4 linked regions of the Arabidopsis thaliana genome follow. The protein of the gene in region 3 interacts with the protein of the main gene of each other region in a biochemical or structural test. Each region holds a gene or a part of one and is shown on either strand. Other genes may lie near its edges.

What was found.
Region 1: of the proteins of MPK7 (region 3) and MYB80, one has a biochemical effect on the other in vitro, tested with the Arabidopsis thaliana proteins (one large-scale study listed by BioGRID).
Region 2: of the proteins of MPK7 (region 3) and AT2G38300, one has a biochemical effect on the other in vitro, tested with the Arabidopsis thaliana proteins (one large-scale study listed by BioGRID).
Region 4: of the proteins of MPK7 (region 3) and AT4G08170, one has a biochemical effect on the other in vitro, tested with the Arabidopsis thaliana proteins (one large-scale study listed by BioGRID).

What each region holds. Positions count from the first base shown.
Region 1 is NC_003076.8:22,716,420-22,721,536, forward strand, and holds MYB80 (myb domain protein 103), read left to right. Parts: upstream 1-2,771; coding exon 2,772-2,904; intron 2,905-3,002; coding exon 3,003-3,132; intron 3,133-3,545; coding exon 3,546-4,245; downstream 4,246-5,117. Other genes in the region: COX15 (cytochrome c oxidase 15), read left to right, coding at 10-186; AT5G56100 (glycine-rich protein / oleosin), read left to right, coding at 702-1,154; AT5G56120 (RNA polymerase II elongation factor), read left to right, coding at 5,064-5,117. UniProt on the Arabidopsis thaliana protein: Transcription factor that binds to the DNA sequence 5'-CCAACC-3'. Regulates directly PME5, UND and GLOX1. Essential for tapetum development in anthers and microsporogenesis.
Region 2 is NC_003071.7:16,042,806-16,048,248, reverse strand, and holds AT2G38300 (myb-like HTH transcriptional regulator family protein), read left to right. Parts: upstream 1-2,233; 5' UTR 2,234-2,569; coding exon 2,570-2,804; intron 2,805-2,955; coding exon 2,956-3,032; intron 3,033-3,155; coding exon 3,156-3,192; intron 3,193-3,279; coding exon 3,280-3,391; intron 3,392-3,512; coding exon 3,513-4,074; 3' UTR 4,075-4,301; downstream 4,302-5,443.
Region 3 is NC_003071.7:7,906,368-7,912,160, reverse strand, and holds MPK7 (MAP kinase 7), read left to right. Parts: upstream 1-2,120; 5' UTR 2,121-2,444; intron 2,445-2,779; 5' UTR 2,780-2,786; coding exon 2,787-3,209; intron 3,210-3,299; coding exon 3,300-3,983; 3' UTR 3,984-4,387; downstream 4,388-5,793. Other genes in the region: AT2G18180 (Sec14p-like phosphatidylinositol transfer family protein), read left to right, coding at 1-18, 127-267, 333-393, 490-890, 982-1,107. UniProt on the Arabidopsis thaliana protein: MKK3-MPK7 module acts as a positive regulator of PR1 gene expression.
Region 4 is NC_003075.7:5,162,138-5,169,614, reverse strand, and holds AT4G08170 (Inositol 1,3,4-trisphosphate 5/6-kinase family protein), read left to right. Parts: upstream 1-2,422; 5' UTR 2,423-2,614; coding exon 2,615-2,808; intron 2,809-3,243; coding exon 3,244-3,325; exon of another isoform or gene 3,326-3,520; coding exon of another isoform or gene 3,521-3,532; coding exon 3,533-3,565; exon of another isoform or gene 3,566-4,546; coding exon 4,547-4,667; intron 4,668-4,779; coding exon 4,780-4,872; intron 4,873-5,052; coding exon 5,053-5,172; intron 5,173-5,253; coding exon 5,254-5,430; intron 5,431-5,513; coding exon 5,514-5,569; intron 5,570-5,646; coding exon 5,647-5,731; intron 5,732-5,807; coding exon 5,808-5,908; 3' UTR 5,909-6,395; downstream 6,396-7,477. Other genes in the region: AT4G08160 (glycosyl hydrolase family 10 protein / carbohydrate-binding domain-containing protein), read left to right, coding at 6,921-6,971, 7,063-7,403. UniProt on the Arabidopsis thaliana protein: Kinase that can phosphorylate various inositol polyphosphate such as Ins(3,4,5,6)P4 or Ins(1,3,4)P3. Phosphorylates Ins(3,4,5,6)P4 to form InsP5.

The sequences.
Region 1 (5,117 bases), on a different chromosome or scaffold from region 3:
ATTTTGCAGGTGACATTAGGTGTATCAACGCTTCTGAGTTATGTTCCGGTTTCACTAGGAAGTGCACACCAAGCAGGAGCTTTAACACTTCTCACTTTGATGCTACTTCTCAATCACACTCTTCGGAGGCCATCACCTTCTCTTCTCAAATCTCTTCCACAAGTTGCTAAATCAAATTTCAGCTAAGCCCTCTTCACCAAAATCTTTCCTTTTTCATTATTTACTAAAAAAACAATTCTTTGGCTCACTATGCTACTAGCAAGCTTTCATCGAATCTTGTGTCAATGATGTTGTATGGTTCGAAAAATAAAGTACAAAAACAATTAACAAAAGTTTCATATGAATCCCAGAACTCTGATAACTTTCATTGATAGCTTCGTGTTGTTTGTTTCATTGCCAATAGAAAATCATTGGATAATTCTAGTTTTAGAGTCAATAATTTCTTATACCAATTTGGTTCAGTGGTAAATTTTAGTTCGGTTTTAGTTTAGATACGATTCGGTTAATTCAGTCCGGTTCAAATCCGTAAGCCTTGTGGTTGTGGATAATGTTTCGAGACAGTTTTTTGGCGTTTTGGATATACAAGACTATCCACGTGTCGTAATACTGTAGCTTATCGGTATCCACGTGTCAGTAGCCTACCATCTTCCTTTCTATATAGCCATGGTACAAAATTCTTTGTTCAACTTCACACTACTACTATGGAGAATCCTGGAGGAAGGAGAAGAAGAGACATAGCCATAACCGATGGAGAAAGAACGACCGGTTCTTCGGTTGTGGCTGCAACCGTAGCAGCTGTTGCAGTGGTAGGACCGCTTTTTGGTCTGATGAGTTTCAGCTTTGTGGCGACGGTGACTCTGTTTCTGATCGCTTCTCCATTGCTGCTGATATTTGCTCCAGCTTTTATGGTAACGGTAGCGGTTCTTGTGTCGGCTATGGTTGGTGTTGGGGTAGCTGCAGCCATGTGGATGATGGGAATAGCCGCTTTGGTATGTTGTGGCCGAGAGATTGGTATTGAAACCGGACTGGCTGGGAGGATGGTTGAGTCGGTGGTGAGAGAATTAGGTTACGGTCGGAGTCGTTACTTGCGAGACAAATCAGAGGATAGTTATTCAACTTCTTCTCCTTCTTCTCGGGATTACTCTTCTTCTTAGTTCAAACTTGGAAAAAGTCTCATGATTCATGGGAATTTCAAGAAGATGGTGAATAAAGAAACAAAAAAAAACAGAGACATGGCTATGATAAGAAAACAAAATTAAGTAGATTTTTTCGAGAGTGAAAATTTGTAATATCTATCCAAAGAAAATCTAGTAATGCTATATCATTTTTTTCAAGTTGTGTTTTTTCCCAAGTCAAGACAAATAGCAAACAGATGAAAACCAAAAATAATAGAATAAATAAATTGTAAGTTTCTTTAGGTCAAAACAGATTGTTAAGTTTAATTGATATAATAATTTTCAAAGATAAAATTAATCACAAGTTGTGGGGGATGGATTATCCGAAGTACAATCACCATGTCTATCTGAATTGTTTGAATTATCCAAATCCACATTATCCGGATTATTATCCATATTATCGAAAACATAGTTTTCCAATTTTTTTTTTTTTTTTTTGATAAAATGTGAATTATATTACCAAAAGGAAAGAGGTTATTTACAAAGCTGGGGGCAAGGAGCTTCTATGGCCAAAAAAAAATAAAAAGCCTTAGATAACTATTACAGAGAAACTGAAACTAATTTTCCAATGTTAACAAGATAAATACATATATGTCTGTAAAGTATAATGTATTAATTATCAATTGATTTTGAATTAGAAGTCTAAGAATTTTATAAGTGTCTCTCATCTAATTTTCAAATTCAAAAGTATACTACTATATCTATTCCATAAATATTACTATATATTTACATTTTGATCGATATTCAAGTTTGTAATAATGTGGATTTACCACTACTTGTTTACAACAAAAGATGACACAAGTAGGGTCCTTCGTGATTTAGAACAAAAGGTACAAGTTCGTACGCGAAAAAGGTACTTCTACAAGATTCTGTGCTTTTCACGAATGCTCTCATAGTCTCACTAATGCACACGAACGCTTTCGCAATATTCTCCGTACTTGTCGGTACTTCACGAATACATTCCCTTACAAAATGAAAAAAAAGTTGTCATAACTTTTTAAAAAAAATCGTGTCATAACTTCAATATGATCACAAATTATATTAAAAAAGAGTACAATTTCACTTCATAATCCAAAGGCTAGTTTGTTATCCAAGTCGTTCTACCAATCCCCAAAATGTTTAAAAGTTGGAGTTTGCATAGAGAATATCAGAAGAATTATATAATCTAAGTGTAAATATATGAAGAATATAATTTTATGGGTGAATAATCTGAATGTAAAAGGAGTTGACCAGGCGTTGAGTGGGTGACCTACCGGCTTAAGGGAATCACACGCTCTGTAGCGTTGAATTCTTTAAAGAGTTTAATCAATTCATGCACATCTGATGCTAATTTTTACTATGTTTTCATTTTTGTTAAATCAATTTTATTATATATATACATACATTTCCTTTCTTCTTTTGCAATTTAAAAGCCTTGATTACAAGAAAGTACAAAAATCAAAAGTTTGGCAGTTTTAATTCTTTGGGTGGGGCAATCTTTGATATATATAAGTTTTTTTCATTTCTTAACCAAATTTTCTTTTTTCTCGTTAGTAAATTAAGTAAAGAGTAATCAAATCGATCAAGAGATAAAAACTAGAAAGAAAGAAAGAAGAAATGGGTCGGATTCCATGTTGTGAAAAGGAGAATGTGAAGAGAGGACAATGGACTCCTGAAGAAGACAACAAATTGGCTTCTTATATTGCTCAACATGGTACTCGTAATTGGCGTCTCATCCCTAAGAATGCTGGTAATTTAAATTTTCTCTATATTTTTTTTAATGTTTTATTTAGTCAAGTGATCATTGTAATGTAATATAATGAATCGACAAAATTTGGTCTTTAATAGGGTTGCAAAGATGTGGGAAGAGTTGTAGGCTGCGATGGACAAACTATCTGCGTCCGGATTTGAAACATGGCCAGTTCTCGGAGGCTGAAGAACATATCATTGTCAAGTTTCACTCTGTTCTTGGTAACCGGTATGATCACTACTCACTAGATCTAATTAACTACGGTTTTATGATTTTCTTGAAAAGATTTAATCTAGGTGTATAAATTACAGATGGACTCATAAATATCGGGTTTCTTTACTAAGTTTTTGAAATTTTGATGCTGACTTACTGATGAATTGTTTTTATGAGTTTTTTGACAAGTTTCTTGGGACACAAGAAACTGAATAAGACATAAGTTTTGTTCTATATACCATAATACCAAATCTAAGTATAGGGTTTTAAACTTTTGGGAACTTTTAATTTTCTATAAATTTGTTTTCGACTCATAAATAGAGTTTGATGATGTATTGCTGATGAATAGTCTGGGATTTTTCATGAGAAACAACAGTTAACATCTTTCTTGGGAAACATTTAATAATCTTTTGACATATATGGTTCAGGTGGTCGTTGATTGCGGCGCAACTTCCTGGTCGGACAGACAACGATGTGAAAAATTATTGGAACACGAAGCTGAAGAAGAAGTTGTCAGGAATGGGAATAGATCCGGTGACCCACAAGCCTTTCTCGCATCTAATGGCAGAGATCACCACTACACTTAATCCTCCTCAGGTTTCTCACCTAGCCGAAGCTGCCCTCGGCTGTTTCAAGGACGAGATGCTTCACTTGCTCACCAAGAAACGTGTTGACCTAAACCAAATCAACTTTTCAAACCATAACCCTAACCCAAACAACTTTCACGAGATTGCTGATAATGAAGCTGGTAAGATAAAGATGGATGGTTTGGACCATGGGAATGGGATAATGAAGTTATGGGACATGGGTAATGGATTCTCATATGGATCCTCTTCGTCTTCGTTTGGGAATGAAGAAAGAAATGATGGATCAGCGTCTCCTGCCGTTGCAGCTTGGAGGGGTCACGGAGGAATACGTACCGCGGTAGCTGAAACCGCGGCAGCGGAGGAGGAGGAGAGAAGGAAGCTGAAGGGAGAAGTGGTTGATCAAGAGGAGATTGGATCTGAAGGAGGAAGAGGAGATGGAATGACGATGATGAGGAACCATCATCATCATCAACATGTGTTTAATGTGGATAATGTCTTGTGGGATTTACAAGCTGATGATCTCATCAATCATATGGTTTGATTTTTATTTGGTTCTAAGTTTTTTCCTTTTTCTTTAAGATTTCATTGTTTGGATTTTCATTTTCGATCACATTGGTAGTTAAACATTGGGTATGATTAATTAGGTGCTTTCTGTTTTTACAGAGATTAATAAGTTTTGCTTTGTAAAGCATTTTAATAAATGAAGAAATGTAAATAAAGAGTTTTTATTATTTTCATCTTGAGTATAATAAATAGATAACAGACATACAAAATTACAAACCTTTGATGTTGGCTTCTGCGTTGAAGTCTACAAAATCCCAAAAATGTCATTTCCAATAACTTGCGTATGTGTTTTGAAAGTAATTAAAAACAGAATCTTATTTGTTACTTTATTCTATTATTTTAGTAATAGAAAAATTCATAAATATATCACTTGTTATAAATTGTGGTGGAACAAAAGCAAACAATGGAATCATATACTTTAGAAAAGAAAAGAAAAAAAATGGAATCATAGGGCCTAGTTAAACTATAAAGCACATTGCATATCATTCGGCCCATTAAAGGCCCAAATATTGGCTATATGCGTTTTGGAGGAGAAAATATAGCCGTTAAAGTGAGAAAAGGTCTCTTACTATGTTATCGCAGCAGTAACAACATAACGTAAAAAGAAAACAATCCGACCGTTGTACATATAGCCGTTAAAGAACAACAATTTAAATACCTGAAATTTTGTGAAAGAAAAGGAATTCTTACTAAAAAAACACAACGAACTCAAATCTTCAATCTTCATCTTACTCTCTAATTGCTTTCCTATTCCGATCTCTGTTTCTTCATAAAGTCTCAATCTTTTTTTTCTCTATGGCCGGAACTAAAGATTCTCATGTAGTGGAGATTCCAGTAGATGAAGAGCAT
Region 2 (5,443 bases), 8.1 Mb from region 3:
CACAGGCTTAATGGACCCTTTTGTCTAATTTGATGGCATATCTCACAAACCATCCAGTTCCATGTTTTTATAAACATGCTTTTTAAACCTTTAAAATGAAGGACACAAATTAGGATTCTCGGTGCAAAATTGCATGTGGACGTGTAGAAGCAGAAGGAAGATGGAAATTAAGTGTAAAGAAGAAAGGAGTGGTGACGAGAAGCTTGTGAAGGATCGATGGCAAGTCTCTTTACACGTGGGGGGAATGACAAAGTTCTTCTTTTTTCTACTTCATCAAAGCTTACAATTTCCTCTCCTCAACAACTTTTTTTGTTTTTTTTGGTAGGGAACAACTTTTTTTGTTTGGCTAGCAGAATTTTATTTACTAACTGGAAAATATGAACTTAAGCCTATAGTTTAATCTCATGAACTCATAATCTCCATTTAATTCTGCAACGAAGTTTTATTGGATGGCATGTACCCGAATCTATAGTAGATATATACAACTGGAAAACAGTATTGTATATTGTTTTCGTGATGCACCAAAAACTTATGATTGAAATTTACGTAGAAATAAAACAGTACAATTTGTTAGACATGTTAATAGAACTGATCTTGTGAGTGCTCATATTTCTTGGAATTCCAAGAGGACTTCGAAAGCATAATTGGATCTAAAATATATTATATCATAAGCATATATACGTGAGAATGTATTTATCTTATTGTTTTCATAATAGAAGTGGTAAAGGTAAATATTCAAACTAATTGTCGAAATATGCGGAAGAGGTAGTATTCAATGGCTTACGATGACTAAAATCGTAATTACAAAAATCACCATAAACTCGTCTAAAAAGACTTTCTTTGCAATTAAAATTAAACCATATAGGACTTCGATTTATACGGTGTCAAATTTTATAACTATGTATGTTAATATTACATATTTTTGGAACGAACGATGTAAAAAAACGGCTCAACTAACAACGCTATTCATCGCTTCACGGGGTCGGATGTGTAACGTAAACCAAGCAAGGACCACTTTACACATAAACTAATTCTCTCATACGAATCTACAAAAATACATATAAAGATAATATATAATTTTGGGGTAAGAGAGGAGCATTGTCCCGTGATTCTCGTCGAACAAAAAACAGAAAAAGAAAGAAAGAAAGAGGTATGTGTGATGATGTGGTCTACATCAAAGACAGCTGAGCAGTCACACGCCTTGTAATCGTAATTTATTCGTCTATCTACCACTCTCGCTCTTCCATTTTTTGCCTTTAGCATTCAATTCCACGCAAAACCCTAAACCTCATAATCTCATCAAAAAGTTTTAAAGATAAATATATATGAATCTACCCATTAATCAATATATTAGTTAGTATTGTGATTTATCACTTTCTAAATACTAAAAAGTACTCAGAAGATTAGAAGGTTGATTTTAAAAATAAATTTTCTAACTAATTTGATCGCTATATCAATAGAAATGAGAGGATTTAAAATCCATCAAGTATAGTTCACTTCGATAAATTAATATTTTGTATAAATTGATTCATGTCACGTACTGGATCTTTTAAATCGTTGAGGATCAAAAATTATTTTGCAACAAAAAGAAAAACAGAAGGAAAAGAAAGTTTAGTTAACATTAATTTTAAACCAAATGTCTTAAGAAAAAGACAATGATCTCGATCATCAATGATCCTAATTCCGACAAAACTACTCTGAGGTATATTATAATTTTGTGAATTCGATTTTGTATTTAATTATTTTTCCTGGAAACTGCATCACGGTATCAAAAAATTTAAAATTCTTCATTTTTTTGTTTTCTTCTAAACTCAAATAACGTCTCAACTATACTAATATCTTTCTTATTTTCTTATAATTATTAATTTTTTTTTTTTTTTTTTTTTTGTTGTTGTTGTAAATAGTCTTACTTATACTAACTAATTCATTCATAGACTGTTAGTCCCGATACATGAATTTTATCTATATCGATCTTTGTAATCGAAATGTTTGTTTGACGAACTAAGGCAATCTAAGACTACTAAGAATATGCTATATATAGAGCCTAATTTCTATCACACTCATCTTAGCCTTTGGTGAACAATAATATAGAATAAGTGTTACTTGTAATTTGTTGGCATGTTAAGGGTATAAACAACAATTTATCTCATTTATAGGAGTAATAGTTTTCTCCCTCCATGGTTGATATTAATATGCATCCACATATTAAAATATACAACTATTTATATATAGAGCTGTCTATAGTAGAAAAGGGCCGAAATCAATTAGCTGTGAACAGAAAAGAAAACTTTTTAACATATGCAACAAGATTTAGGTGAGGGTTTGTCTACATGTTCCGGGAAGAGAGAGAGAGAGAATCAGAAGTGTATCTTGATCTAGGGTTCACAGACAAAATCTCCATGCTTTGAACTAAGCAGAATTCATCTGGTCTTTTATCTCTTTCATATCAAACCAAAGGATTGATCTATCCATATCGTCCAAAACCTATATCTAGCTAAGCCTAGAACTTCTCTATCGTTTACCACTTTCTTTCTATATTTCTTCTGAATTTGTAACATCAGAAGTAATAATGATTCCAAGTATGGAGGGAGGCGGGAAGACTAACAGAGAAGAAGAGGAGGAGGAAGAGGAAGAAGAAGAAGAAGGTGAAGAGAGTAAGGTTTCAAGCAATAGTACAGTGGAAGAGAGCGACAAGAAGACTAAGGTTAGGCCTTATGTGAGATCTAAAGTCCCTCGACTCCGGTGGACTCCTGATCTTCATCTTCGCTTTGTCCGCGCCGTTGAGAGGCTTGGAGGTCAAGAAAGTACGTCCATAGCTACTAACTTCATCTTTCATCACCTCCTCCACATATATATAAAAGCATAAGCAATTTCTTAGTTATTCTTAGGTTAACTATTTGGTCAAAACCTCATGTGATTTTCTTTTTTTTAATGTGTATGTTTGGTTATGTATAGGAGCAACTCCAAAGTTGGTTCGTCAGATGATGAACATCAAAGGGCTTAGTATTGCTCATGTCAAGAGCCATCTACAGGTATTTGATCTACATACATCTAAAACGTACCTATATATGTGTTGTATTTTCGATTTCGTTTCAAATAATCTCTGAAATTAGAAAAAAAAAGAAATCACTAAATTGTGTATTGGAAAATTTTAGATGTACAGAAGCAAGAAGATAGATGATCAAGGTCAAGGTATTGATTCTTTCTATTTGTGTTCATTAGTTAGTTATCAAGTTATACATGTATAGGCCAATAAAGTGGGGTTTGAATTGTTGGCAGCTATAGCTGGTCACAAACATCTCTTCGAGACTTCCACAGATCGAAATATTTATAAACTAAGTCAGCTACCGATGTTCCGAGGCTATAATCATAACCATGATTCTCCATTCAGGTTGATATAACTTTTTTTTTTGAAAATTTTAGATTTTATGTGTTCCTTAATTTGAATGATATTCCGTTTTAATTATATTTATTCGGAAACTAAATTAATTGTCTTCTTTTGTTTTTGGTAGATATGGAAGTAAAATTTCAAATGCTTCTTTGTGGAACTCTAGCTCTCAAGGAACAGAAAGGAGTTTGATAGACCAAATTAGGCCCGGTTTAATCCGCAACGCGTCGGTTAGCAATAACATCCGTGGTAGTGATTATTGGACTAACAACAAGTCTTTCCAAAACATCTACTCTTCTTCAATTTCTAATCACTTTCCGAAACTACGACACGATCATCACGAACGGACCAATTCAGTCACATTCAACAGCATTCAAGGACACTCAAGAACTTTTCAAAAGTTCCATAACGGTGTTGAGGAGAACACTAATCATTCTTATTGTAGCAAGACAAATGGCAAAAGAGACGCAAGTAGGAGCATTGATCTTGATCTATCTCTTAAGCTAAGACAACCGGAGAAGACAATTTTGGAAGAGACAGAAACAGCAGCAACAACAACGGATCAAACGTTGTCCTTGTCGCTATGTCCAGGGTCGTCTTCGTGGAAAAAGAGCCGACTGATGAAAGATGAAGAGGATCGGACGGTTAAGATTGGTCAGGAGAGTACTCTGGATCTGACTCTATGAATTATATTTAAGAATGAGACAAATTCTAAGTGAGATCTTGAGGTACTTACCGATATCTTAATATTCAGTGTCGTTGTTGTTTATCATTAATCATGTATTTTCTTTATTATTAGAAAGGAAACAAAAATGTTTGATTATATTAACGGTCTTGAGTTTGTTTGATACCGCCAATTTGTATCATCACATATATAAACAAATATTACTAGCCACATCATAATGATTCGATCTTTTGTCTTCTCATAGCAATATACTATATGAAAATTACATATACATATAACAACAAATTTACATCGATTAGAGTATCTCTGCTGGTGAGCTTCATTCATTTGTAGATGAGACTTTTACGTAAATAGTACAAAAATTTTGGTTTCGTATTTATCCGAACAGTACATGGACAATTTTGTAGTTCCAAAACATGTTATAGTTAATAGTAGTGTTTTCAATAATTTCCAAAATCCATCTTCACTCATTTTTCCCTTTTCAGAGACATAGTGAAACAATTTTACACTATGCAAATCCGAAGCCAATTATTTTTGAGGTTTTTACTATATGTGAACAAGATTAATACTTAAACAACAAGACACACCTCGTTCTTTGTAAATATTAAAGAGGTTAAAGATCATAATACAAAAAAAAACATAGAAAAAGTTCACAAATCATCAAATCTTTTGAGTTCATTATTCTATATAAAATTTTATCTCGTGAAATGTTTATTGTATAAGGATGTGATTAGTTGCAAACCAAAAATTAATGTTTAATAGTATTTGATAGGGAACTTATTTCAACTGTGTAAAATTTTCCCGGTAAAATTTTCGTTCAATCAGTCGATTCTAAGAACATGAATCTTATTGAATCTCTAATAATTTATTGTATAATATGGTGGCACCTATACGTCAATACGATAATGACGTCGTTAATAGTAACGTTGAGAGTTGAGACTGTTGTATAATTTTGATTCGACGTGCCAAATACTACGTTCGACCAAGTATCAATTTTGATTTTCCAAAAAGAAAAAACAAGAAACTTAGGATCTCCGTTAGTTTGATTGGATACACTGATACTGTTTCGATATTTAGACAAACAAATGGAATCTTTGCTTCTTAAACATTCGATGCGTGTGTGTACCTGGTCAACTTCTTCAGACTTCATTATCAAACATGGCCGCACGATCAGTTTTATTTTGCTACTGGAGAATTAACTTATCCACCTCAGAATCTAAACTAATTTCTGAAACTATATAAGTGTTTTTTGGGGCTAAAAATAAGATGCATGAAGTGAAAGTATCCTAGTGGTTAAAAAGGGGTGTAAACATAACGTTTAATGTTGTATCCCTTTATATGTACCTCTAATGTCCCTCTTTATTTACTTT
Region 3 (5,793 bases):
AATCCAGATATTATGAAGGTTTGTTTTCTACAACTTCTTTGATCTAGTAAAGCAACAACAACACTCATAGTTAGTTTCTTTCTTTCTATATGAAAACTAAGATGATTGTCACCGTAAACCTAACAGAGAGTTAATAATGGTGACCACATATGCTCAAAGAGATCTCAAGCTGATAATGCTGGAGAGAATATTATCTCTCAGGGGAATAACTCTGCAGTTGAGGAAGCTCCTGAAACTGACCAGTCACAGCCCTCTCCTTGTCAAAATGTAAGAATGACACTATTTTCCTTCATGAGGCTTGTATTCTCCTTATATTTCTTCCCACATCTCAGGTCGTGGTTGCTCATCCAGCTTGGAACATACCAGAAGCTCACAAATTTTCCCTCTCAAAAAGTATAAGAGATCATGTGCAAATTACACTACTAAAGAGACAAATACTACTCCTTTTTAAAAGAACTTGAATTTAAGTACTTCTCTGTTTTTGAACAGGGGATGTTTACGCCATTCAAGAAGCTTGCAAAGCTACAAATGAAAGTGGAAGGTCTCCTATTTTCACTGGAGTCATGGCTTTTGTAATGGGTGTAGTCACCATGATTAGAGTGACTAAAAACGTTCCAAGGAAGCTAACCGAGTCAACTATATACTCTAGCCCGGTTTACTGCGACGAAAACTCGATGAACAAGAGCTCGATGCATGGGAAGAAAATGGCAACAACAACCATCTCAGGGGAAGATTTCATGGCGGTCATGAAACGAATGGCTGAGCTTGAGCAGAAAGTCACAAACTTGAGTGCACAGCCAGCAACTATGCCTCCTGAAAAGGAAGAGATGCTTAATGCTGCCATTAGCCGAGCCGATTTCTTGGAACAAGAACTTGCTGCAACCAAGAAGGTAACACAAAACAAAAAAAACTTTCATATATATTACTGATTTGTTCTCAGCTTTCACTATCTCACACTAAAGAGTTGTTGTATCTTCACAGGCTCTTGATGATTCTCTTACCCGACAAGAGGACCTTGTGGCATACGTTGAGAGAAAGAAGAAGAAGAAGAAGCTGGTCCGCTTTCAAATCAATGCCTACTTAACTAATTTTTGTTTTGGTGTTTAAAATGGTGTTCTGTTTTACTTTTTATCTCCATGTGCAGTTCACTTGGTAAGTGAGGAACATGAGGAAGAAGAAGCCTCTAGTGGAGTTAGAGGTGGCCAATGCACTCATGTCATTAACTTAAATCTTACAGTCACATTAAAATTAAGAGAATCTCCAAAGAAAGAATTTTGTTATGTCTCTGTATATATATATCATCCTTAGATGTTACCACTTATCCGCATCATATGCGAGATCATGTTTGATTTGTACAAAAGAAAACAATGAATTTATAAGAAATATATTTTGTAAAGTAGTTTTGTACAAAAGATTAGTGTGCAAACATTTTTAACATCAACGTATAAAATTCAAGTACACTTTATATAAACTAAATTACTAGGGTTGAAGATGAATTGGGGCTTGATGGTTTGGAGAGACAGAATCTTCGAAGATCTATGGAGAAACTCAAAGTTGATTGATAATCTGCGTTCGTCAACTGATAGGTTTACTCAACCATTTGCCACTCAAATTAGTTATGTCATCATCTGATGTTAAATCCATCAGCCACACTTATCCTTTTTTTAATCTAATCCTCAAACCTCTCCGAAAGAGACAGAAGGTCTTCAAACCAAGAGTGGTTTTGTAGTTGACCACTTTTTGAGGCTTTTAAGTTAGGTTTAACTACACCCAGTGGAAACTTCGGTTCGGACAACAACAAGAAGTTGCTCCCAATCTACGTTTACCACGTGTCACTTTTTCAGTCCACCCACGTGCTTAGCCGGTTACTTGATCCATTTAAATCCTCAATTTCTGTATTCGTGTACGTATATTATACCAAGACAAATTCTACTTAATAAATATCTTACTCAATCTTTTTAATTAATTACAAAAATTCCTATGCATTATTTTTTTCTAATTACCAAATATAGTAATAACAATCCTGATTTGTATGCAAAAAAAAAACATGAAGAGTCCATTAAACTTTAGAGATTTTTTAATTAAAGATAGTTTGTAACTGAAGTTTTGTTACACAAAAAATATCTAATCTAAAAAGAATGTCGTTTTCGTAATTAGAAGACTTTGTAATTTGTTTTTTTCCTAAAAAACGAAAAGAAGTAACCAAAGCTTCTTCATCAACCAACGTATTTTGCTTCCTTTCTTCTTCTTCTTCTTCCTCTTCCCCTAACATTCCATTCCCCGTATGGGTCTCACCACTTCCTAACTCTTCTCTCTCTTATCTCTTCTTGTTTTAGCTATGAAGAAGCAATCTCAATTCAGATCCAATCATACCCTTCTCTTCTTTCATCTCTGATCATTAACAACAACAACAACGACTCGGGTTCTGTAAATTCAGTTATTGGGTATGTTCGATCTCTTGTTCTGTTTCTTCTCTTTATTCATTTAGCTTGTTTTAACTCTTAATTTTTGAGTTTTGATTATGATTAATCAAGAGTTATCATATTAAAAAGAGAATTTTTATAACCAAAGTTTGCTTTTTTCTTATGGAGTAGTAAGATTGATAGCTAAGTAAAGGAAACGATATTAAAAAGAGAATTTTTCTTAGTTGAATTTCACTTTTTGGAGACGTAAAGGAGAAAAAAGCTTCAATGATTCATAAATCGAAAATTCTCTATAAACCCTTTTCCAAAATCTTACCAATTTAGGGGAAAAATACTGAAAGTTTTGGTTTTTGCAGAGAGAAAATGGCGATGTTAGTTGAGCCACCAAATGGGATTAAGCAACAAGGGAAACATTACTACTCCATGTGGCAAACATTGTTCGAAATCGATACAAAGTATGTTCCGATTAAACCCATTGGAAGAGGAGCTTATGGTGTGGTTTGTTCTTCTATCAATCGTGAGACTAATGAGAGAGTTGCTATTAAAAAGATTCACAATGTGTTTGAGAATCGTGTTGATGCTTTGAGAACGTTGAGGGAACTTAAACTTCTTAGGCATGTGAGGCATGAGAATGTGATCGCGCTTAAAGATGTTATGTTGCCTGCTAATAGATCCAGTTTCAAGGATGTTTATTTGGTTTATGAGCTAATGGATACTGATCTTCATCAGATTATTAAATCCTCTCAGTCTCTTTCTGATGATCACTGCAAGTACTTCTTGTTTCAGGTAACTTTAAGTCCTTCCTCGGTAACTCTATGTTTCGAGTTTTGTATGTTTAGTTATTGAAATAAGTCTTGTTCTTGTTGTTGTGTTTAGTTGCTTAGAGGGTTGAAGTATCTTCATTCTGCAAACATACTTCACCGGGATTTGAAGCCCGGGAACCTCTTAGTTAATGCGAACTGCGATCTCAAGATTTGTGATTTCGGGTTGGCGAGAACGAGCCAAGGTAATGAACAGTTCATGACTGAGTATGTGGTTACACGTTGGTACAGAGCACCTGAGCTTCTTCTTTGTTGTGATAACTATGGAACCTCCATTGATGTATGGTCGGTTGGTTGCATATTCGCGGAGATTCTTGGTAGGAAACCGATTTTTCCAGGAACAGAATGCTTGAATCAGCTTAAGCTAATCATCAACGTTGTTGGTAGCCAACAAGAATCTGATATTCGGTTCATAGACAACCCGAAAGCTCGAAGGTTTATAAAGTCTCTTCCGTACTCAAGAGGAACTCATCTCTCCAATCTTTATCCACAAGCCAATCCTCTAGCTATAGATTTGTTACAGAGGATGCTTGTGTTTGATCCAACCAAGAGAATCTCTGTAACCGATGCGCTCTTACACCCGTATATGGCGGGGTTGTTTGATCCTGGATCCAATCCGCCTGCACATGTCCCAATCTCTCTGGACATAGATGAAAACATGGAGGAACCAGTGATAAGAGAGATGATGTGGAATGAGATGCTTTATTACCACCCTGAAGCTGAAATCTCAAATGCCTAAATCAACATCAATGATCATTAAGAGTAAGCTTTTTCCAGTTTTTTTTTTTTTTGCTTTCTAAAATGCAGCTTTGATGTTATGTTATATATAGCGAGTCCACAAACGCGGGAACAGATCGATAAAAAGCCCGGTGCTTTGATCTCGTCTGGTTTGATTTAGTTGCAGTGAGTGAGTAGTAGTAACAGAGTTTGAAAAGTGGCTCTCAGTATCTTTACCACTTTGTAAATGTGACTGTTTGTTACTAAGTAAGTTAAGGCTTGTTTTTGTTACATTATCTTTGAGTTGATGAGTTTTACTACTGATTTTCAGGCCAACTCTTGTATTTTGTATAGCTTTGCCATTGCCCACTTGCTAGCCACACGAAATAATTTTTTATAGTTTAGATACTCTCATACTATAAAGTATAAACTAATAAAAGTATAGATGTTATTTTCTCTAGTTTTTATCCTACCTTTAAAAAGCCGCCAAACATGTTTTCAATTCATTATAAGGGAAGATTGGATAATGTGTCACTTCATATTTTTCGTTCTTTTTAGTACTACCAAAACAATTTCAGAATATATTAGTAATCTTATAAATAATGATCTAAGGAAGTGTGCTATTTTTTTCAGTTCCAATATGAAGACTAGTGTGTTTTAAAAATACTTTATTTTATAAGTGTATTTATTTCAAAGGTGAATTAGCTAAATAACCAATTCCTGAAAAGAAATTAAATATCTAGCACCATAAGTTGCCGAATTCAGAGAGTAACACATGAGGTGTGTGTAATGACAACACACTCTTTCACCACACACTCCTTCACCCAACTCTTTCATTCATGTTTAAGGCGCGTGAAGAAAACAGAAGTGTAGTGAATTATGCTGACGTGGTCTTTTAAGGAACAATAAAAGTTTAAGTTATGTTGAGAAGAGAAAAGAGAAATATGATTAAAATATGTTCACCCTTTTTAATATTGTTTACTATATTATGTTAACAATATTAATTGGTTAAATTAATAATACTATTAAAAAAACAGATTTTTTTTGTGTATCTAATATGATTTGAATTTTAAAAATCGGATACGAATTTCTTAAAAAATGAATAGTGATACCAAATTCTATACATATCATCATAGAAAAATAGAATAGTACTCCCTATGTTCCTTTTTGTTTGATTTTTTAGAAAAAAAAATTGTTTCTAAAAGATTGATTTTTTAGGTTTTCAATGCAATAGTTATTAGTTATAATTGAGAAATTGTAAACTTCAATACAAATTATTGAATATAATTGGTTTAGAGTTATTGAAAATTGTAAATCCCAAAGAACAATACATTTAAAAGCAACATTTAATATGTTTTATTAATATTTGTGTTTTTTCTAAAAAATCAAACAAAAAGGAACAGAGGGAGTATATATTTGTTCAAACCAAAACTTTGATTCCGATGAATCCAAATAATCAATTAAATATTTTTTGATGGAAGGATACTAAACCCTAAGATAATATATAGGGAACCCAAGGGTTTTAATCTAAAATAATGATTAAATCACTTAACATCCTTAATCAAAACAAACAATTCGTTTTAAAACGTATATAGTACAATGTATACGTAAATAGTATATTCACAAAATAGAAAAGTATCTCTCAAAAATCTTCCAAAATCAAAATCGATTTATTGGCTATTTCCCTTTAGAATTTCCAACATCGTAAACCCTTTATCGCTTCTAGATCTAAGAAATCCATAACATGATTGTCAATTTGTTATTCATAATTCTCAATTTTATTTTCCATGGATTTACAAATTAAAATTCTCATATGAACTTTGATGGGAAAG
Region 4 (7,477 bases), on a different chromosome or scaffold from region 3:
TGAGAAGAGAATTTGTTGAAGAAGAGAGGTTGTTGAAAAAAATTGGTCAGAGAAGGAAGCGAAAAGTTCGGTAGCAGAAGAAGGAAGAGTCACCGGAGAGGCCAAAGTTTTTTTTTTTTTCGTTTAAAAATTTTAATTTACTAATTTCGTTTTTTTATTAATATTGGAATGACTTGAACGAAGAGGACAGAAAAATCGGTGCCGTTGTTGAGGTGTTGTTTGCTGACGTGGCGAGAATCGAATATGGGCACTAAGTTTTTTTTTTTTTTTTGTAATGAAATATATTAAAAGTATTTAATAATAATATTCTCGTTAAATTAAGCAAATCATTAATTTCAGTTTTAGAATAAGGAAATTTTGCACGTCACTTTAAGGAATGTAATTAATTTTAAGAACAATAACTAGTTTTCTATACATCGTTTGTTGATTGATTTAATATGAAACACTATTCAAATGTGATCTTAAGGAGAGATTGTAATCATTTAGATTTGATTTATTTTCGAAAATCTTTAATTAAACCATTGATTCGATAATTTATTAGATGAGATTACATTTGATTAATGCTTTATATCTTAGCTGATTCTCTTGATTATTAAAAATATGCATAGTACTCGATTGAATTATTTTCATATTTTTCAAAATTTTCAATGAAAATTAAAATATTTTATCTGCTTTTTTCATTATGGTTGTTAATGTTCGTTTCACAAGCTTTAATGGTATCAAACTTTTACTCTTTTGAGGGTGTGGAGAAGTCTCCCAATGAGAGAGCTATGTTTCATCATGATGATTTTCTCTCCTAATCTTCATCCGAATAATCCCTAACACCATCTCAAGCACTATTAGGGATCTAATGTTATTTCGTTCGAGAATGAAGACAAAAAAGTATGAGGTTTAAAATTCATTCGTCTCTACGCTTCCCCAATATTTAGAGGCAGTTTACCATCTGCGTTTTAAGATCGATAATCTCTAGAAGGGATGATTGGCTCGGGTGGTGATGGGGCAAGATATGGTCTCTAACACGAGGAATGTGTACGTATATGGGTATCATTGTAAATCGGGAAAGAGTAATAGTCCAGCTAATCTATAACTTCGTGAACAAATCCTTGCGGTGCACAATAGGGACTTTCTAGTAATGCGACCTTCACTATGAGACTCTCACTTGAAGGAGCAAGAATCATCTTCATGAAAAATATTATGCCATTTAGAACATCATAAGTAGAGTTTCTAATACGTTAAAGAGATCCACACAGTCTCACTAGTTGAGATTTGTGTATTCTTCCTAAACCTTAAGGGATAATGCATCTACTCAAATTGTAATTTAGATTCTTGAAACCGGAGCATTAACTGCTCGAATACTCGAAAGTAGTTTGTGACAAGAGTTTCCAAAGTTGCAAAAGATCTCTTCCATCTAGAGTTGGGAGGGGATGACTTCTATGTGAATCCAAGATATCATGGTATTAAGAAACACATCTACAACATGCATCTCTCCAAATCAAAGAACCAATGGTTGAAGTAGTATGGCTTTTTGTTGAGAATCTTATAGGACTCTTTGAAGAAATGGTAAGATCATCAATTCTCAAAAAGCCAAAACAAAGTTTTCTCGAAAGCATGGGAAGATGAGTTGGGAAGATGAGTTCTAGTTAAGTCACTAAGAATGTGAGGACGTATTCGGAGGACCAAAAAGCTCAAAGTTAAAGTGATGTAGTAACTTAGCCGTTTATAAAGGGAAAGACGTACTATTTTAAGAGGAATTTTGAAGAAAGTTACCAATTTTAAAATTTAAAAGTATGTGAGATCTGCTTTTTTGAAATAAAATAATTTATTAAGTCTTTTTATACATAGAATATATATTCTTTTTAATGAAATTCTACCTAAGTTTTATTCACAAACATTCACTAATATCATTTATACAACCGTTTTGGTCATATAAATAGTTGTTGAGTTTTGATAAATTGATAAAAAATTATTTTACCTAATAAAATTATACAAAAATATTAATTTGTTTTTTTGCTAACTATATTATTTGAAAGAAAATTAGCTACATGATTTTCTCCTAAAACATTCATTTTGCGAATTATATCTAAAAAATTTAATCGTCTCTCAAACTTGTCAATACATTGATTTCAAATCCCGACCAACAATAAACTCTCCAAACTCAAACCAGATCGATCTATCTAACATTTTAAAAAATTCCAACCTAGATCATTCACGTTCTTAAACAACAACAAATCACAACTAGCTATATATCGGCTTGGCTCAGACAAAAATAAAACAGTGCAGTTCCAAGAATATGTTCAAATTGCAATATACATTTCTCATAATTAAAACATGTTTCTTTACCAAAAAAAAAAAAAAAACAACCGTTAGACACATACATGTGTACACATGTCCCTCACGCCGCTATAAATATTTCAGACCTCTCCCTACTCTCTCATAACCCACCCAAAATATCACAAGCACCGACTAAAACAATTCGGATCTAAACCCGACCCGGTAAAACCAATCCCAAATTTTACTCCGTTGTGAACGCATCAAACCCAGAAAATTTCTTCCTCCGATCTCGCATTCTCCACTTCCATAATCCCCAAAATTGTTTCGTTGATTTTTCCACAAGATGAAGCTAACGGACAACGAAGAGATCACCATGAACGGAACTCGAGAAATGGAGACGACAGAGCAAGAGACATCGTCGCCGTGTTCGTTAGTAATCGAAGCTTTTCCGGTGAAGAAATCCATTATTGTAGGTTACGCTCTTACATCAAAGAAGATTAAGAGCTTTTTACAACCAAAACTCGAAGGTTTAGCTAGGTTTGTGATTCTGATTTTTAACCCTAATTTTATTGTTTGTGCTATCAGATATTATTTAGGACTTAATCGAGCCAATTTTGAGGAAAACTGTTTACAAAAGTGATATGTACCTGTTCGGCACGAATTTTTTGTGTCAAATAGTCGGCTTTGATATTATTTAGGACTCAAATGAGCCAATTTAGAGGAAAATTGTTTACAAAAGTGATATGTAGCGGTTCCGCACGAATTTTTTGTGTGTCAAATAGTCCGCTTTGATATCATTTGCTTTCATGCATATTGTTAATGAACAAATTCTCAATTTTTTAAAATTAATTTTCATAAGAATATTCTCTTCACTATTTAATTGTTTGATTTTTCTTTTGGAATCTTTGACCTTCTATTGATGAAATGGTGTTACTATAAAGTTTAGTTACTGTAGTTATGTGTTTTGTGCAGGAATAAGGGGATATTATTTGTGGCAATAGATCAGAATAAGCCACTTTCAGAGCAGGGTCCGTTTGATATTGTGTTGCATAAGGTTAGTTTTATTGGATCTTTGTTAACCCTGTTGGTTTTCTGATACATTCATCTTATTTTTGCCTATGGTTTGTCAGAAGATATGTCTTGGGAACATCCCCTGCTCAGGTTGTTAGAAACTAACCTTGTTTTGCGTCTTCTTGCTTAGCTTCTTTTCATTGATGCCTGATTATTCTTATTTGGTGTTTGTTTTTACATGTACTGGCAGCAAATTGGAAAAGAATGGCGTCGAATTCTCGAGGTTAGTCTTACGATTGTTTCCGTTTTTGTATTTGCTGTGGCACATTCTATAGCCTAAGATTATTAGATCATGTATGTCTGTCATTCTGTGGTGATGAGTACCATGTTGATGTAGTTATGTTATATAAGCCTTTGTTAGATGAGAGATGGTGGTAAATTGCACAAGTTAGCAACTAGTTCCTTTTAATTTCTAAATCTTGTTTCTCAATGGAAATTTTTTTCCAGAGCTTTTACTCTTTCCTTGTCGTGAGTCATTAGTTGATACAAATTGAGGTTGAGACTACTGCAAGTGAGAATATTTCTACTTCCAGAGGCATAGAACTGTAACCTCTTCAGGTTTTCTAGAGTTAGATACTAGTAATGTTTTTTGAATATTGGGTTTACATGTTCCTGGTAATAGTTGAATGCAAAATCATTTCATCTTTAAGTAGAATGTAATGCTCTCTTGTCTACATATATAAGAGCCATCATCTGATTTCTCGTTGGGGAACAAGACATTTCACATCTCATAATTGCTAGAAGAATAGAAATGAAAGTATGCTGTTTGGTGTAGAAAGTAATCGGCGTTTCTGTGTGTTTAGATCCTAGAGCTATTCAGATCTCAGGAGATCAGACTATGAATCATTAGAATGCCAACTTCTGAGTATAGTTGAATGCTAGATTTATACTCTTCAGATAGTATATACTGATGATATAGAAAAGTGTCTACAATGAAACTTTAGTTGCAAAGTGCAAGTTTCATCAGTAGATTAGTTTAATTCTTAATCTTAGTTGCAGGATAGTGAAGAGTTCAACGTTGGGGATACAGTTTTTAGACTGACACTGTCGCTGTGTTAATAATAATATCAATGTAGATCAATATCTCAGGAGATCTCAGCAATACAGAGATAGAAGTTTTCTGTTTATGACCATTAGCAGGGATGCACTTTTGGGTGTTGAAAAGTAGACTATGTGTGAGCATAACTGTTTCTAATAATTTCAGGAATTTAGGCTAGCACATCCAGATGTCACAGTTCTTGATCCTCCAGATGCAATACTACATCTCCGTAATCGTCAGTCAATGCTTCAGTGTGTTGCGGACATGAATCTGTCTGATAGTAATGGTAAATATTCATGTGTAATCACTTGCTATTTGCTGTTAGGGACGCTAAGGTTAAAGATTTTATTAGTAGAGTTCTGTGTATCTGAGTAGTAGAAGTTGCTCTGATTGTGCAGGACGCGTTGGTGTGCCCAAGCAATTGGTAATTAAAAAGGATGCATCTTCAATTCCGGAGGCTGTCAATAATGCTGGTCTGAGACTACCTCTTGGTATGATTCCCTCCTTATGTTCTGTTAATGACTTTCGTTTAGCTTCATGTGGCATCTTGTTGTCTATCACAAAAGCCACCATGGCCTGTGTTTGTTCAATTGGTGGGTGGCTGAAGTTTTAGTTGTGCATTATTAATGGATCTATAAGTAAATTATTTAATTTGATGTTTAAAATCGTAGTTGCAAAGCCATTGGTTGCTGATGGAAGTGCAAAGTCACATGAGCTTTCGCTGGCTTACGATCAACACTCCCTTCTGAAGCTCGAGCCTCCTCTTGTTCTTCAGGAGTTTGTTAACCATGGTATGAGATTTTAGTGGTTATCATTGCCTGTACTAGAACTTAGATAATTTGATTACCTATCTAAATGCTTGGCTTTCGCAGGAGGTGTTCTTTTCAAGGTTTACATTGTTGGGGAGGCTATTAGAGTTGTCCGGCGCTTCTCCCTACCTGATGTCTCTAGACGAGAACTCCCCAAATCAGCTGGTGTATTCCGCTTCCCACGGGTCTCTTGTGCTGCAGCTTCAGCTGATGATGCAGATCTGGACCCGAGCATTGCCGGTAAAATCCTCTTCATCATCAGTAAAAATCGTCTGCATTTTTCCTTTGATGAGGACCTAACAATATCCTCATTCTCGTTGCAGAGCTTCCACCACGTCCTCTGTTGGAGAGACTGGCAAAGGAACTCCGTCGTGGATTGGTATGTTTCAGTCCTCTCTACTATATATCCAAGCAGGAGTATTATATCAAACTCTACTGATCTCTAATTTGTTGCAGGGTCTAAGGCTGTTCAATTTAGACATAATTAGAGAGCACGGGACAAGAGATCGGTTTTATGTGATCGACATCAACTATTTCCCAGGCAAGTTTGATTTCCACACATTTTTTGCAATAGACTATCACAAACATGTGGTTTAAGAACAAAAGAACTTGCGCAGGGTACGGGAAAATGCCAGAGTATGAGCATGTATTCACTGATTTCTTACTGAGTGTGGTACAAAGCCAATGTAAGAAACGAGCTTTGGCAGATCAATACTAAACTCAACGGAGAGACCATTGTTCCTCCCCAAAGAAAAAAAGAAGATTAGTAGTCTATGCAATTTATTTCTGTACAGGACAAAGCACCGATTTCCCTCGATGTTGTTCTTTAGCTTCATTGTGCTGTACAAAAGAACAATGGAAGATTGCATTTAAAAGAAAATCCTTGGGACCTTTAGAGATTTAAGGATAGAGAATTGTCTGAATCTCACTACAATGTCACCATATCAAAAAGTGAATAGACCTTATGTCACACACTACTCATATGGGCATGGCTTCACTTTGTGACTGCTTCTATCTTTTGATTTGGTTGGCTTTGTACTATTTTGACCATAAATGTCATTTCTTTTGGTTTTAATCTGCTCTTATCTTTTGATCATGTCCTTGTTAGTTTGTTTGAAACTTGGAGTTTATAGTTTGGATCAGTTTTGGATGCACTCTTTTATGAGTAATCTTACAAAATTTACATCACAAATTGTTGATTATTGACTCTTTTATATAAAGTAGCTTTTAAACCTTATCTAGTACAACAATTTGGTTAGATCAATGTGAACCTTCTGAGGATAGAAACCATTTTGAAACCTTAAAAAATAGGTTTACTTGCATTGTAAGGTTTAATAAACACAAGTAGGAAAACGAAACCTGAGCTTCAGCTTTGAATTCTTTCGTTCTTTCACATGGTTGTCTATGACAACAATTGAAGCCTTCTATTTTAATTCAAGCAAACTACACTTTCCTGGGTTTAAGACAAAGCAATTGTAGTTTCTCTTTTTCTTCTTCAAATCACAAAATCAATAATGTTATTTTTTTCAAAGTATTGTGTCTAGCTCTTGCTTGTCTTGGAGTTCACTTGAAACTCTCTATGTTCTGTCTTTGACATAGAAGCATATATTATATATATATATATATCAGAGCAAGTTCCTCAACCCAACCAAAAAAACTAAAACCTCAAAAGCTTTTTAACAATTATCTTCTTTTTGTGTGTACTTAATCTTCTTCGCTTGGAACTTGCTATGGAGAAGAATACAAATACGAACCATACAAGTGATGATAATAATGATAAGGTTGTCGATATTTAAGCTTCTTCTTAACAATAGTGCGCTAATGTTTCTACAAGCTAGCTAACTAGAGTTATTTTGTATTTACGTCTGGCAGAATCACACTAACGAAGAGCAGGAGAAGATCATCTTAAACCCTAATTTTGAGGATGGCCTAAACAACTGGACTGGAAGAGCGTGCAAGATTGTCTTACACGAATCCATGGACAGTGGGAAGATCGTACCGCTCTCGGGAAAAGTTTTCGCAGCAGCAACGCAGCGTAAAGACACATGGAATGGGATTCAACAAGAGATTTCAGGAAGATTCAGGAGGAAGCGTGTGTATGAAGTAACAGCGGTAGTTCGAATATTTGGCAACAATGTCACAAGTGCAACAGTACAAGCGACTCTCTGGGTCTTAAACGCAAACAAACGTGAACAATACATAGTCATTGCCAAGTAGGTTTCACCTTTTTTCATCTTCTCCATTACATAAGTATCTTGATATAAATTCATTATACTGATAGAGTTTG